Tamandua tetradactyla: one gene and its partners. The protein of the gene in region 1 interacts with the protein of each later gene in a pairwise test. Links are inferred from orthologs where the notes say so. Each region holds a gene or a part of one and is shown on either strand. Other genes may lie near its edges. The genes, in order: DTNB, HMG20A and ZBTB9.

The links.
Region 2: the proteins of DTNB (region 1) and HMG20A interact in binary tests that used the Homo sapiens proteins (3 or more experiments, as listed by UniProt). The two-hybrid records come from large-scale screens. The link is inferred for Tamandua tetradactyla from reciprocal best matches to the Homo sapiens genes DTNB and HMG20A.
Region 3: the proteins of DTNB (region 1) and ZBTB9 interact in binary tests that used the Homo sapiens proteins (3 or more experiments, as listed by UniProt). The two-hybrid records come from large-scale screens. The link is inferred for Tamandua tetradactyla from reciprocal best matches to the Homo sapiens genes DTNB and ZBTB9.

Annotation. Positions count from the first base shown.
Region 1 is NC_135329.1:9,285,121-9,288,869, forward strand, and holds the start of DTNB (dystrobrevin beta), read right to left. Parts: upstream 2,893-3,749; 5' UTR 2,848-2,892; coding exon 2,804-2,847; intron 1-2,803.
Region 2 is NC_135338.1:65,795,014-65,798,762, forward strand, and holds the start of HMG20A (high mobility group protein 20A), read left to right. Parts: upstream 1-1,495; 5' UTR 1,496-2,482; exon of another isoform or gene 2,483-2,653; intron 2,654-3,749. UniProt on the Homo sapiens protein: Plays a role in neuronal differentiation as chromatin-associated protein. Acts as inhibitor of HMG20B. Overcomes the repressive effects of the neuronal silencer REST and induces the activation of neuronal-specific genes.
Region 3 is NC_135331.1:89,436,071-89,439,819, reverse strand, and holds the start of ZBTB9 (zinc finger and BTB domain-containing protein 9), read right to left. Parts: upstream 2,470-3,749; 5' UTR 2,286-2,469; intron 2,049-2,285; 5' UTR 1,970-2,048; coding exon 578-1,969; 3' UTR 1-577. UniProt on the Homo sapiens protein: May be involved in transcriptional regulation.

The DNA of each region.
Region 1 (3,749 bases):
TGGGCTAGGCTATTATAAACATTTGGGGAAGCAGAAACTTTAAGTGAAGTTGTATTAGCATCTCACCTTCTCTGTTCTGTATTTCATCAACTCCCAAATTCTCAGAAAACTTCTTTCAAACATATTTCATTCATTCTTCCCTCTCACCTCCAAAATTGTGTGTCAGCCTCTCTTACCTATTTGTCCTTTTCCTTCAGCATCTATAAATGCTCCTACTTTTCATGTCTTAGAGAAAAAGAAAGAAGCCTATCTGTACTCCAGATCCTGCCCCCACCTCGCCATATTTCCCTTCACAGTCAAATGTCTTGAAAGCAGTCTGCTCTTCCTTCTGTTTTCAGCAGCTTCTCATTCCTTAGCTGTGGTTATGCAGCCTCTGTCCCCACCACAGGGCTGCCCTGCTCTCAACTAATGGCCTAAATCCCAAAAGCCACTTTTGAGGCCCCATACTACTAGAGCACTCAGTGGCATTTCACCACACAGTGCTCCACTGTTTCTGAAACTCCCTTGGCCATCAGTACACAACTCCTCTCTTAAGCCCTCTCATGGCTCTCAGTCTCCACAGCACTGTCCTCACCCCTCAGCTCACCCCATACTTTATCACTGAGCCATTGCATTCACCCTCTGTCCTCACCCACCACAGGTATCAGCAACTCCCACACACATTATCTCCATGTCAGCCACTCACCTGGGTTCCCTATACAACAGTCTACCAGACTTCTCTACCTGAGAGGTCCTAGAGATACCTCAAGCTCTATATTTATAAAACTGTTTAGCACCACTGTCCACCCATTTGCCCAATTCAGAAGCCAGGGAGCCATCCTTGAGCTTGTCCTCACCCTCCCTACCATACCCAATCAGTCACTACATCTCGTTGATTCACCCTCGTGAATAACTCTAGAACCTTCAGCCCCTCTCACTTAGACTAATGCAACAGCATTCTAACCATTCTTTCTCCTTGTTCTAGTTTGCTAGCTGCTGTAATGCAACACACAAGAGACAGATTGGCTTTTGATAAAAGGGGATTTATTTCATTAGTTCTTCTGAGAAAAGGCAGCTAACTTTCAACTGAGGTTCTTTCTTATGTGGGAAGGTACAGGATGGTCTCTGCTGGCCTTCTCTCCAGGCCTCTGGGTTCCAACAATTTTCCCTGGGGTGATTCCTTTCTGTATCTCTAAAGGCCTGGGTTGAGTTGCGAGTGCTGAGATGAGGTATACTGAGGTGCTTGGGCTGTGCTATGTTGTGCTCTCTCATTTAAGCACCAGCCAATTAAATCAAACATCATTCATTGCAGCAGGCACGCCTCCTAGCCGACTACAGATGTAATCAGCAACAGATGAGGTTCACGTACCATTGGCTCATGTCCACAGCAACAGATCTATGTACCTTCACTTAGCCAAGTTGACAACTGAACCTGACTACCACACTCCTGTAGTCTTGCTCCTTCCGATCTCTCTTCCATACTGCAGGTCAGAGAAAATTTTCAAAATTTACAGTCCATGTAGATAGTTTGATTGAACGCCATAAGTACTTGGAATCTCAGGTAGGACATGAGATTTTGTTGGTTTGTCCAGAGTGATGCCCCGATGAATCCCAGAGTGATTCGATCAGTGAGTGTAAAAGTATTTGCAAAGCCCCCTTTGGGGAATGGTGAGAACAGGGAGAAATTCAACTTCCCCAAGTTGAATTCTTGATATTCTCACAAGCAGTGTGGACAACCAAAGCTATAGGCTAAGCCCCCAGTCTTGGGGTTTGTTCATATGAAACTTAACCCCACAAAGGATAGGTCAAGTCTACTTAAAATTTAGGCCTAAAAGTCACCCCCAAGAGAGCCTCTTTTGTTGCTCAGATGTGGCCTCTCTCTCCAGCCAACACGATGAGCAGTCTCACCACCCTCCCCCTGTCTACGTGGGACATGACTCCCAGGGGTGTGGACCTTCCAGGCAACGTGGGACAGAAATCCTAGAATGTGCTGAGACTTAGCATCAAGGGATTGAGAAAACCTTCTCGACCAAAAGGGGGAAGAGGGAAATGAGACAAAGTGTCGATGGCTGAGAGATTCCAAACAGAGTTGAGAGGTTATCCTGGAGGTTATTCTTATGCATCAAGTAGATATCATCTTGTTATTCAAGATGTAATGGAGAGGCTGGAGGGAACTGCCTGAAAATGTAGAGCTGTGTTCCAGTAGCCATGTTTCTTGAGGATGATTGAATAATGATGTAGCTGTCACAATGTGACTGTGTGATTGTGAAAACCTTGTGTCTGATGCTCCTTTTATCTACCTTGTCAACAACAGAGTAGAACATATGGAATAAAAATTAATAATGGGGGAACAAATGCTAAAATAAATTTAGTTTGAAATGCTAGTGATCAATGAAAGTGAGGGGTAAGGGGTATGGTAGGTATAATATTTTTTTTTTCCTTTCCTGTGTTCTTTTTATTTCTTTTTCTATTGTCTTTTTATTTCTTTTTCTGAATTAATGCAAATTTTCTAAGAAATGATAAATATGCAACTAAATGATGATATTGTGAATTACTGATTATATATGTTGATTTTTTGGTTTCTTAATTTTTTAATTAATAAATAATTTTTTAAAAATTTACAGTCCATAGTACATTATTTACAGTAATATAGTACATAGTCCTATATTGCCTCCACATTACATTCAGGATGAAATTACAAGTCCTCAGCACAGCATAGGAATTTTCCACTAATCTAGCCCTTGCCTACTTCTCCACACCCATCTCTGTTTGCTCCCTGTACACACATGCCATCCATTTCTGGAATGTTCCTACTTTCTCTTACCTCCATGCTTTCGTATTTGTTTGTCTCTCTGGTTGGAATGTCATTTCAACAGAAGCAAAGAATACCCAAGGTATGAGTAACCGAGGTTCCTGAAAAAGAAAAACAAAACAATGGAACAGCACTAATATTTAAAACTATAACCCAAGTAACTTTCTGAAAATAAAAGAAAACATAAACCTACATAATGAAAGAGTCCACAACGTACCTCGTAAAACTGCCACAAAGTGGTTAGCTCAGAAAGCTATCCTATTAGACAGAAGGATTAATAATAATCCTCAGGGTTTCCAGGCAAATGATTCAAATTGCTTTAAGCAATTTGAAAACTAGGGTAGAAAACTAGGCTGCAGCAAGATTAAAGATGGCTGCAAATTCTTTGCTGCTCCTTCAACCCAGGCTTGCTTTAGTGAAGTGCTTAAGCAATAGAATGTGGCATAAATGATGTTCTGAGACTGCCAAGGCAGGGTTATTAGAAGCCTTGAAGCATTTACCTGCTCTTTGGGAATACCTGCTCTTGGAGCCACAAGCCACTGTTAAGAAAATCTAACTGCCTGGGGAGTGGCCCTGGGACTGCATGGGAAGGGAGAAGGCCTTGCTGCGCCCAGCATTTGGGACACCCCCTCAGTGCACAAGGCACGTGAGGATGTCACTGTGAACCCTTAGACGGGCCCAGCTGTTAGCTGAATACTGCTGATGGAACAACCATCCAGCCAACCTCTTCCCAAATTCCTGACCCCCAAATTTTGAAATTAAAATAATATTGGTTCTTTTTTGAAGCTATTACTTTTTCAGATGAGTAGCTTGTTAAGGAGACTGGTAGTCAAACTCAATGGCATCAGACTTCTCGAGAGCAACACACAAAGCAAGGAGACAGTGGTACACCACTTTCAGTATTTTCTAGAAACTTAAGGAAAGAAGAGGCAAGCCAAGGATTTTAGAGAATCAGTGA
Region 2 (3,749 bases), on another chromosome or scaffold:
ACGTCAATCCCTAAATATAGGGGAAGGGGAAGGACCATTATATCTACACATCAAAAAGCTTTAAAGAAAATAATTTAACTTCTTTCCCCCATAAGATAGTCACATTAGAGTCTCCTAAATAAAGAAATGATAAAATATTTTCCCCTCTTCCTTGAGAGGCTTGTTTTTTCACATAGCTTGTGACTTGGTCATAGCCAAAACTCATTAGCAATGGTATGAATTTTGCTTCCATTGTTAACTGTTAAACTCTGGGCTGAGGCTATTACTCCCATTTTTAAAGCTAAGAAATACCTACCATTATAGTTTACAAAACGAGTCACCAAAGAGAAGTGCCCAGAGACTTCAGAAAATAATTAGTGTAGTCAGTGAATTGAGATATCTAGAAATGCTCTGAGATTACAGGAGAAGCCATCATGAAGTGAGTATCCAAGATTGCTCACGGAAAGTTTTACCCCTGTGGATAATTCACGTTTTTCATTTCCACACTGCAGAGAGCAATATGAGTTCTCCTACTACACACATTACTGTATCACTTTAATTATCAGAAAAAAAAAAAAACTGTGGCTGAACATTCCATCTGTAAGTAGGCCCCAGAACAAAATCCTCAAGTCAATCTCAATTCAGGTGAAAAGCTGTTCACATACATCACCGGATGACCTAATAACAGTCTTTTATGTAAGTCTCCAAGTACTTAATTCAAGGTATAATCTCACCATATTTAATAGAGGCAGGGGAAAAAAACTTATTAGGTTTTCTATAGCAAGGCCAATTAAGATGAAACCATAGTTTTCCTCTAACTCATCACTACCCCCTCAACGCCAGCCTTCCAATAACTTCATTCCACAGCTCCCAAATTCCCAAACTTGGATTTAAAAAAAAAAAAAAGCAGATTGCAAGAAAGTAACATTTAAAGGGGGGAGGGGTACTTTTTCCTGTTGCTGTCAGCAGTCTTTAACACAGTCACAGGATGAAAAACGAAATCAAGCTCTCAGACAGATGATGCATGCGAAGGGGGGATTTTGGGCAGCAAGACCTCCTCGAAGGAAGCAAAAAAAAGTTGCAAGGACGATGAGTCAAAGGGCAAAAGAGAAAGAAATTGGCTAACCGAACCACTCAAAACCCCCAAACACCAAGCGAACCCGCAATCAGGGGGCTCACCAGCAGCAGAGGGAAGAGAGCAGGGTTTCTTCTCGACGCTACTGGCGTGGTTGCGCCGGATCCTCCCCGGCTTGGGAGCGGGAGGACGGTGTAGACTTAGCAGGAGGGAGAGGAGCCCTTCCAGCCCCGGCCTCCCGCGTCCAGCTTCTCCGGGCTTCACTTTCCACAGCAGCCACCCAGCCGCGCCCGGGGGCGTCCCTCACCGTCAGGTCCCAACTTTCCCTCCTCTGGGGGGCGCCGCGCGATCTGGGCGGCCGCCGAAGACGGGGGAGGAGGCGGCGGGGGGCGCGAGGGGGTGCGCGGCGCCGGCGGGGCGCGAGGCCAGCCGGAGCCGGAGAGACCGAGCGGGGCAGGACGCACTGGCCGCCTAAGCCCCCGCGGCGGCGCCAACCAGACCCCGCGCCGCCCGGCCCGGATTCCCGCGGGTCAGAGCCCTCACCCCGAAGCGACCCCAGCCCCATGACCCGAAGCGTGAGAAAGGAGCGGAGAGGACGCGGACAGCCCTCCCGTTACCTGAAGGGCGCACAACGCCGCCGCGGGGACCACCATCGCAGGCGTCCCGTTTCCTTCCTGGTGACTGCAGCCGCCACCGCTGCCGAACAACTGGCACTGACTAACAACAACTAGCAAACTACTCGCCGCCGCTGAGTCCACCGCGCGCTCCCGGCCGCTCGCCACCCGCCCAACCCACCAGCCTGCCCGCCTCCTCCCAGACCCGCGCGCCACCTTTCTGCGCGCGCACCCGTGCGCCGCTCTCCTCTAGCTCTTCCCGGGAGCGAGCACGCGCGCGCGCACGGGCCCTCAGCCTCTCTCGCCTCTGTGTAATGGGAGGAGTCAACGCAAGTCCCCTCCTCTCCGCGTTCCCATCCAAGGAGGATAAGACCTAAAAGCGATTGATTGGCGGGGGGGCGTGGCCATAGTCAGAGGGCGGGGCGACAGGGCCGACAGCCCGCAAGAAGGAATATTTGGGTTCAATTAAATACCAGAGGGTAAAGGGGAACGACGTATGGACCATTTGACTATGTCAGCCTGCTGTTGACTTCAGAATATGTGTTTTCAAGGACTGCTGTGCATAGTAGTAACCAATTTAACATCGCTACTTCCTGCGGGTTTTAGAGAGAAAATAAAAGAACTACATCTCCCAGAAACCTTCGCGAATTGCCGCACCTTGCGTAGTCACGTACTACTTTGCCGCGTTTGAGCAAAATAATCCCTTAATTTTTCTGCAGGAATCGGAAATATTTCACTTTTCTCCTCACCGGAACAATTTTAAATGTTACTGCGATAAGAGAAGCTACCTATGGGGAGGTGGTTAAGAGATTAGGTAAGGAGAAAGAAAGGACATAAAAATAAAGTGCTGCGGAGGAATTTTTGTCAAGCTGTGAGACAACGACGTGCGAAGAGTGAAGGCGATTGAGAGGGGCTGAGGGAATTCTCCTCTGTACAAGGGACTTTCTTTAGGTCCCAGGCCCCTGCTTGTCTCTTTCGTCAGCAGGTCAGTAAGCAAGGCGAGTTTGGGGGGTGACCACAGTCGAAGTGTCCTTTAGCCCATGAAAATCATCCATCTTTTGCCGTTGTTGTTACTGGTTAGCTACGGATTGAGGCTGATTGAATGGGGGAGCCTCACTTCCGTTGGGGGAGGGGTGATAGGCTGTCCTGGGGTGGGGGAGGACGTAATTCACTTCCTGTGGGGGGTAGGCCAATGGTTTTGGGGTGTCCAACCCACTTCCAGTGCGGACGAGGGTTTGAGAAGGTGGTTGGTGCTGTTTATATAGATGGAATCTTCTAGCTTTGGGACTGTTTGTTTTTTTTTTTTTTTGTAAATTAGGTTATTCCATCAAGTTGTGCTAATCCCCTGCCTCCAACCAGAATTTATGTGAGTTTTATTACCAAATGCAAGATGGAAAATTTCCTCCACAACAGAAATTTCCTAATGCTTTTTTACTTAAAAGAATTCAAAATCGCTTTTTAAAATTCTCCATCTCTGCAAGACGAGATACTTTCTTGTGTGACTCATGGATTGCCTACCCCGCTCCACTAAAGTCCAGCCTTGGTAGTGTTCTCTGCCTTGATATGCGCTCTGTAGCTTCTCTTTTTAAGGAGGTCATTTATGAGAGGACAGAATATTTTACTTAAGTTATGAGGCATCTTCACGTTATCAGAGTGAAAGTGTCTTGCTGTAGTTCTCAGATATTTGGTGTCACCTTAACTAACATAAAAAATTTGGTATATTTAAATTCTTATACCTGTTGACTCCAGACTACAGGTTTTGCCCTGTGCTGGAGAACAACTCCCTCAGGCTTAAAAATTCTTAAATGTGAAAGTTGTATTTTAGTACATTGTCCCCCCTTGTAATATAATTAAATTGAGCACCGATTTTTTTTTTTAAAGTGGTATCTGTTCTTTGCAACTTTAAGGTTTATGGTGCCTGAGATTCAACCCACATTTTAATTAGGGGGGAAAATGGATTCAAAAAAGAATAAAAGATGACTAAAAAAGAACTTTCCTTTTTTCCTGTATTCTCTATTTTTTATAAGAAACTGTGTAGAGAGTGGTAATAAACACGCAATAGTTTTGATTCCCTGGCTTCT
Region 3 (3,749 bases), on another chromosome or scaffold:
GAAAGCAAATGATCTGAGAGGTTTCTACAAAGATACAACAACAACAACAAAAATACAGAAAAAGAACTCTGCTCACATCATTACAGCAGTGATGAGGGAGAGGAAAGTTTAGAATTTGGCCCCTGAATAACTCAAACTGAATCAAATGTATCCCTAGATGGAGACCAGCTCCTTTACCTCCTCACGGACACAGAATGATACATTTATCATTATGTCTTCTTTGCTCTAACACTTCTCTCACTAAATAGTCTTCTGATATGAAATTTGGTTTCCTGAATGGATATCACCACTAGGAAAGGAAGGTCCATTATGGGCAAGTGATCTATTTAAATATCGCATGTAAATCACTTTCCTGTGAAGTGGTTAGCAAAAACCTGGAGATGAAAAATCTGAATTATCAAATCTGCCAGGTTGAGGCCCATACCCAAGAACAAGAGAGCACCTGCAGAACCATAATCTATTCATCCTTTTAGCATGATTGCAATATCCAGGACTGGGGTGCCAGGGTAATGAGAGATGAGTATCCATCAGCAGCAGTGGCTCTCTTGTCCTGGAAGTCAATGTATGGCCTCAGCAGTCACTTGTAAGTCCAGTGGGCAGTGGCCCAGCCCTGGCCCTTGCATAGGTCCCGATGGCGAAGGAAATAGGCATGGACTCGGAACCGACGACCACAGTGGGGACAGGCATACAGCGCTCCAGCATGGGTCTTCATGTGCTCTGTCAGATGGTGCTTCAGTTTAAAGCGCTTGTTGCAGATGCCACAGCCAAAGGGCCTAAGGCTGAAGGTCAGCATGATGTGCCGGTCACGCTTTGGCTTCACTGCAAACCGTTTCCCACACAAGCAACCAAAGCATTTTCCATCTGCAGGGGGTGCTCCCCCTAGCTTCACAGGCCCATGTACAGCCTGTCCTGCTCCCCCAGGTCCTCCACCTCTTGACAGGATTTCATTCCCATGAAGATCCACTGGTTTCCAGGATGGGCTCCCTCCCCCAGATGCTGTCCCTGCTCCTGAGGGCAGTAAGAACCCTAGCTCCCTGTCCCCTTCAGGGAACACTTTGGTCTCCTCTTTTGCTCCTCCAGACTGAGTTCCACCTCCTGATACCTCCTCCTTAGGCTCAAAAGGTTCCTGCTTAATGTAGAAGATTTTGGGGGGCAGCACAGTAGGAGGGGCAGGAGGCTCAGTCGGTGCACTCTCACCCTCTGGAAGCCTGTGTGGAGTAACAGCTATGGGCAGTGGGTGGGATCCATGAGAGTGGGGAAACCCCCCTGATACTCTCTGAGGTTGAGTCTGAGAGAGTGCTGCTGATCCCTGGTCCTCATCTTCTTCTTCCTCTTCTTCCTCCTCCTCTTCCTTCACTTGAATCTGTAACACCTCTCCCAGTTCACTTCCCTCCCCTCCCACAGGGCTATCTGTAGAAGCAGTGGACTGCACCATGGTCTGGAAAGGAGGAGAACGAATGCACCAGCCTCCTGGAGAGGATGTGGTGGAAAGAAGGGTGTGGTAGGGGGTCACTCCATGGCCTGAAATTCCATTACCTGAGGTTTCTAGTTCTCTAAGAATCTCTGAGCACTGATCTACTACTTGCCACATCTGGAGTCCACTGGCCACAAGGAGGTGGGCAGGGAGGGCATGGAGTGGCAGATGGAGGCGCCCTGAGTAAATGAGCTGGAGCAGCCCCTCAAAGGCATCTGCTTCAATGACACTAGGCAAGGTGAGGCGTGGTGCATCCCCCAGAAGCAGCTTGTCATGGAAGTAAGGAGAAGCAGCAGCCAACACTGCTTTGTGGGCCCTAAGTTCTCGACCCTGTACCATGAGGGACACATCACAGAACTTCCCTTCCAGTCGGTGTCGATTCAGGGATTCCAGCAGCGACGAGCTATGCTGAGGGAACTCGATCTGGATTGTCCGTGGGGCTGGGTTGAAGATCGGGGAGGTAGGCACAGGAGGCCAAGGCGTCGATGTATCCATGGCCTCCTCGAAAAGAGAGATCCTAGAGGATCAGGAAGAGGAGATGGGGACTGGGGATAGACCCCAGGGCGGATACAGGCTGTGGAGAAACGAGATGGAAGTTACAGAAGCCCTGGATAAGGGGAACCACGTCTTCTCAAACAACCGCCCCCCCCCCCAAATTTGGAAACTTTTCCATCAGCGGTGGTTTCCGCAGATCAGTTCTGCGCCCTTCCCCACCAATAAAACAAAAACAAAACACCATCACCAAGCAAAAACCGGGGTTTTAACTTCCAGAGCCCGCGGAAACTGAGGAGGAGGAAGTCCCTGACCTCACCTGTTCCGGACCACTCCTACCCCGCTTCTCCGTTCCCCCTCACGATGCTCCAGAGAAGGGCTGCCGGGAGGCCACCGTCACCGAGAGACCGCAGGGCACCACCAGACTGCCTTCCCCGCCGACACGCCCCCGCCGTTGAACACTCAGGGTAGACACCCCAGCACCTCCCCAGCTCCAGCGCCTTCCCGGGCCGGAAGCCACCGCCTTCCCGCTGGACGCCGACGCCGGGCGGGACTAGAGCCGCAGCCGGAGCCGCAGCCAATCGGAGGCCGGTAGTCTACAAGCTTGTGGTTGATTGGCTGCCCAGGTGAGAAAGGCGTTGCTTGGAGCTTGGAGCCTGGAGCCCGGGCGTTTTGGGGGACAGCGGGATGCTGCTGACCTCTCCGCCACTCCGGGAGGTCGGGAAGCCAGGAACGAAGGGGCGAACTGTAAGTCGTCCCGGAAAGCTGCGTTTCCCGGCTAGTAAGTGTAGCGCCCGCCTCTCCCCCGCCGGTAGGTGCCCATGGGGGCGAGGCTAATTGAGCGCCTGCTGTGGGCCAGCACCTTCCCTCATCACCTCGCATCCACCCAACAGCCCCGCAAAGTAGGCATTGCGGTCCTCAGCTTCCAGGAGAGGAAAACCGAAGCTAAGTCTCTCGCCTGATAAATGGTGGGCCTGGGATGGGAACCCATATTTGCTAACGAACCAGACTTTCCTCGTATGGCATAGGAGTATTATAACCGACAATTAAACCTTATTTGCAAGAATTACCTTTTGAAATTAGATATATGTAGATATAGACTTGGAATCCTTTAGATAATGCCGCTCTATCCCGGCCTCTTCGCTTCTTTCCTAAGTGGAGCAGTGGGTGCGGGGAGAGCTAGACTGAGGAGATTTGGCTTGTCCCTGCAAAACCCCTGCTCTCGATAACAGCATGGAATAAATCTCCTCGCTGGTTTGGGAGTGATATTTTTTGAGGGCTGTAGCATCACGGAGGGGTAGATGGCCATTCTCCCAGGCTGTCAGCCTACTTTAAAAATGAAGATCGCACTGGTCGGTCTGGAGGTCCCAGCCTATGAAAGGCACCACAGCGATAAAAGAACGATCTCCGTTTATTAAACATGATTTTTCTGTTTCACCACACACTCCAGAAAAAAAGGAAATGAGGCTGGGAGTTGAGAAAAAGGGACAGTGGTGGGAGTTAGAGAAGTTTGGGAGTTGGATTGGGAGGGAGAACGAGAAAACAAAATAAAACAGGTAGGAAGAGCAGCTCCCTACCCTTGGTGGGTTGGGTGGGGACAAAAGGGAGGGCCAGGAAGCTCTGTACAGAGGAGTTGCCCCCAGCCCACACACACACACACACCCCGGATATGTACAGTACAAACCCCAGATAATTACAACAGCCAAAGAGGAGAGGAAGAAAGAGGTCCAGGGGTAGGGGCCTGAGGTGGGGAAAGCAGAGGAAAGGGCACAGGGATAAAATT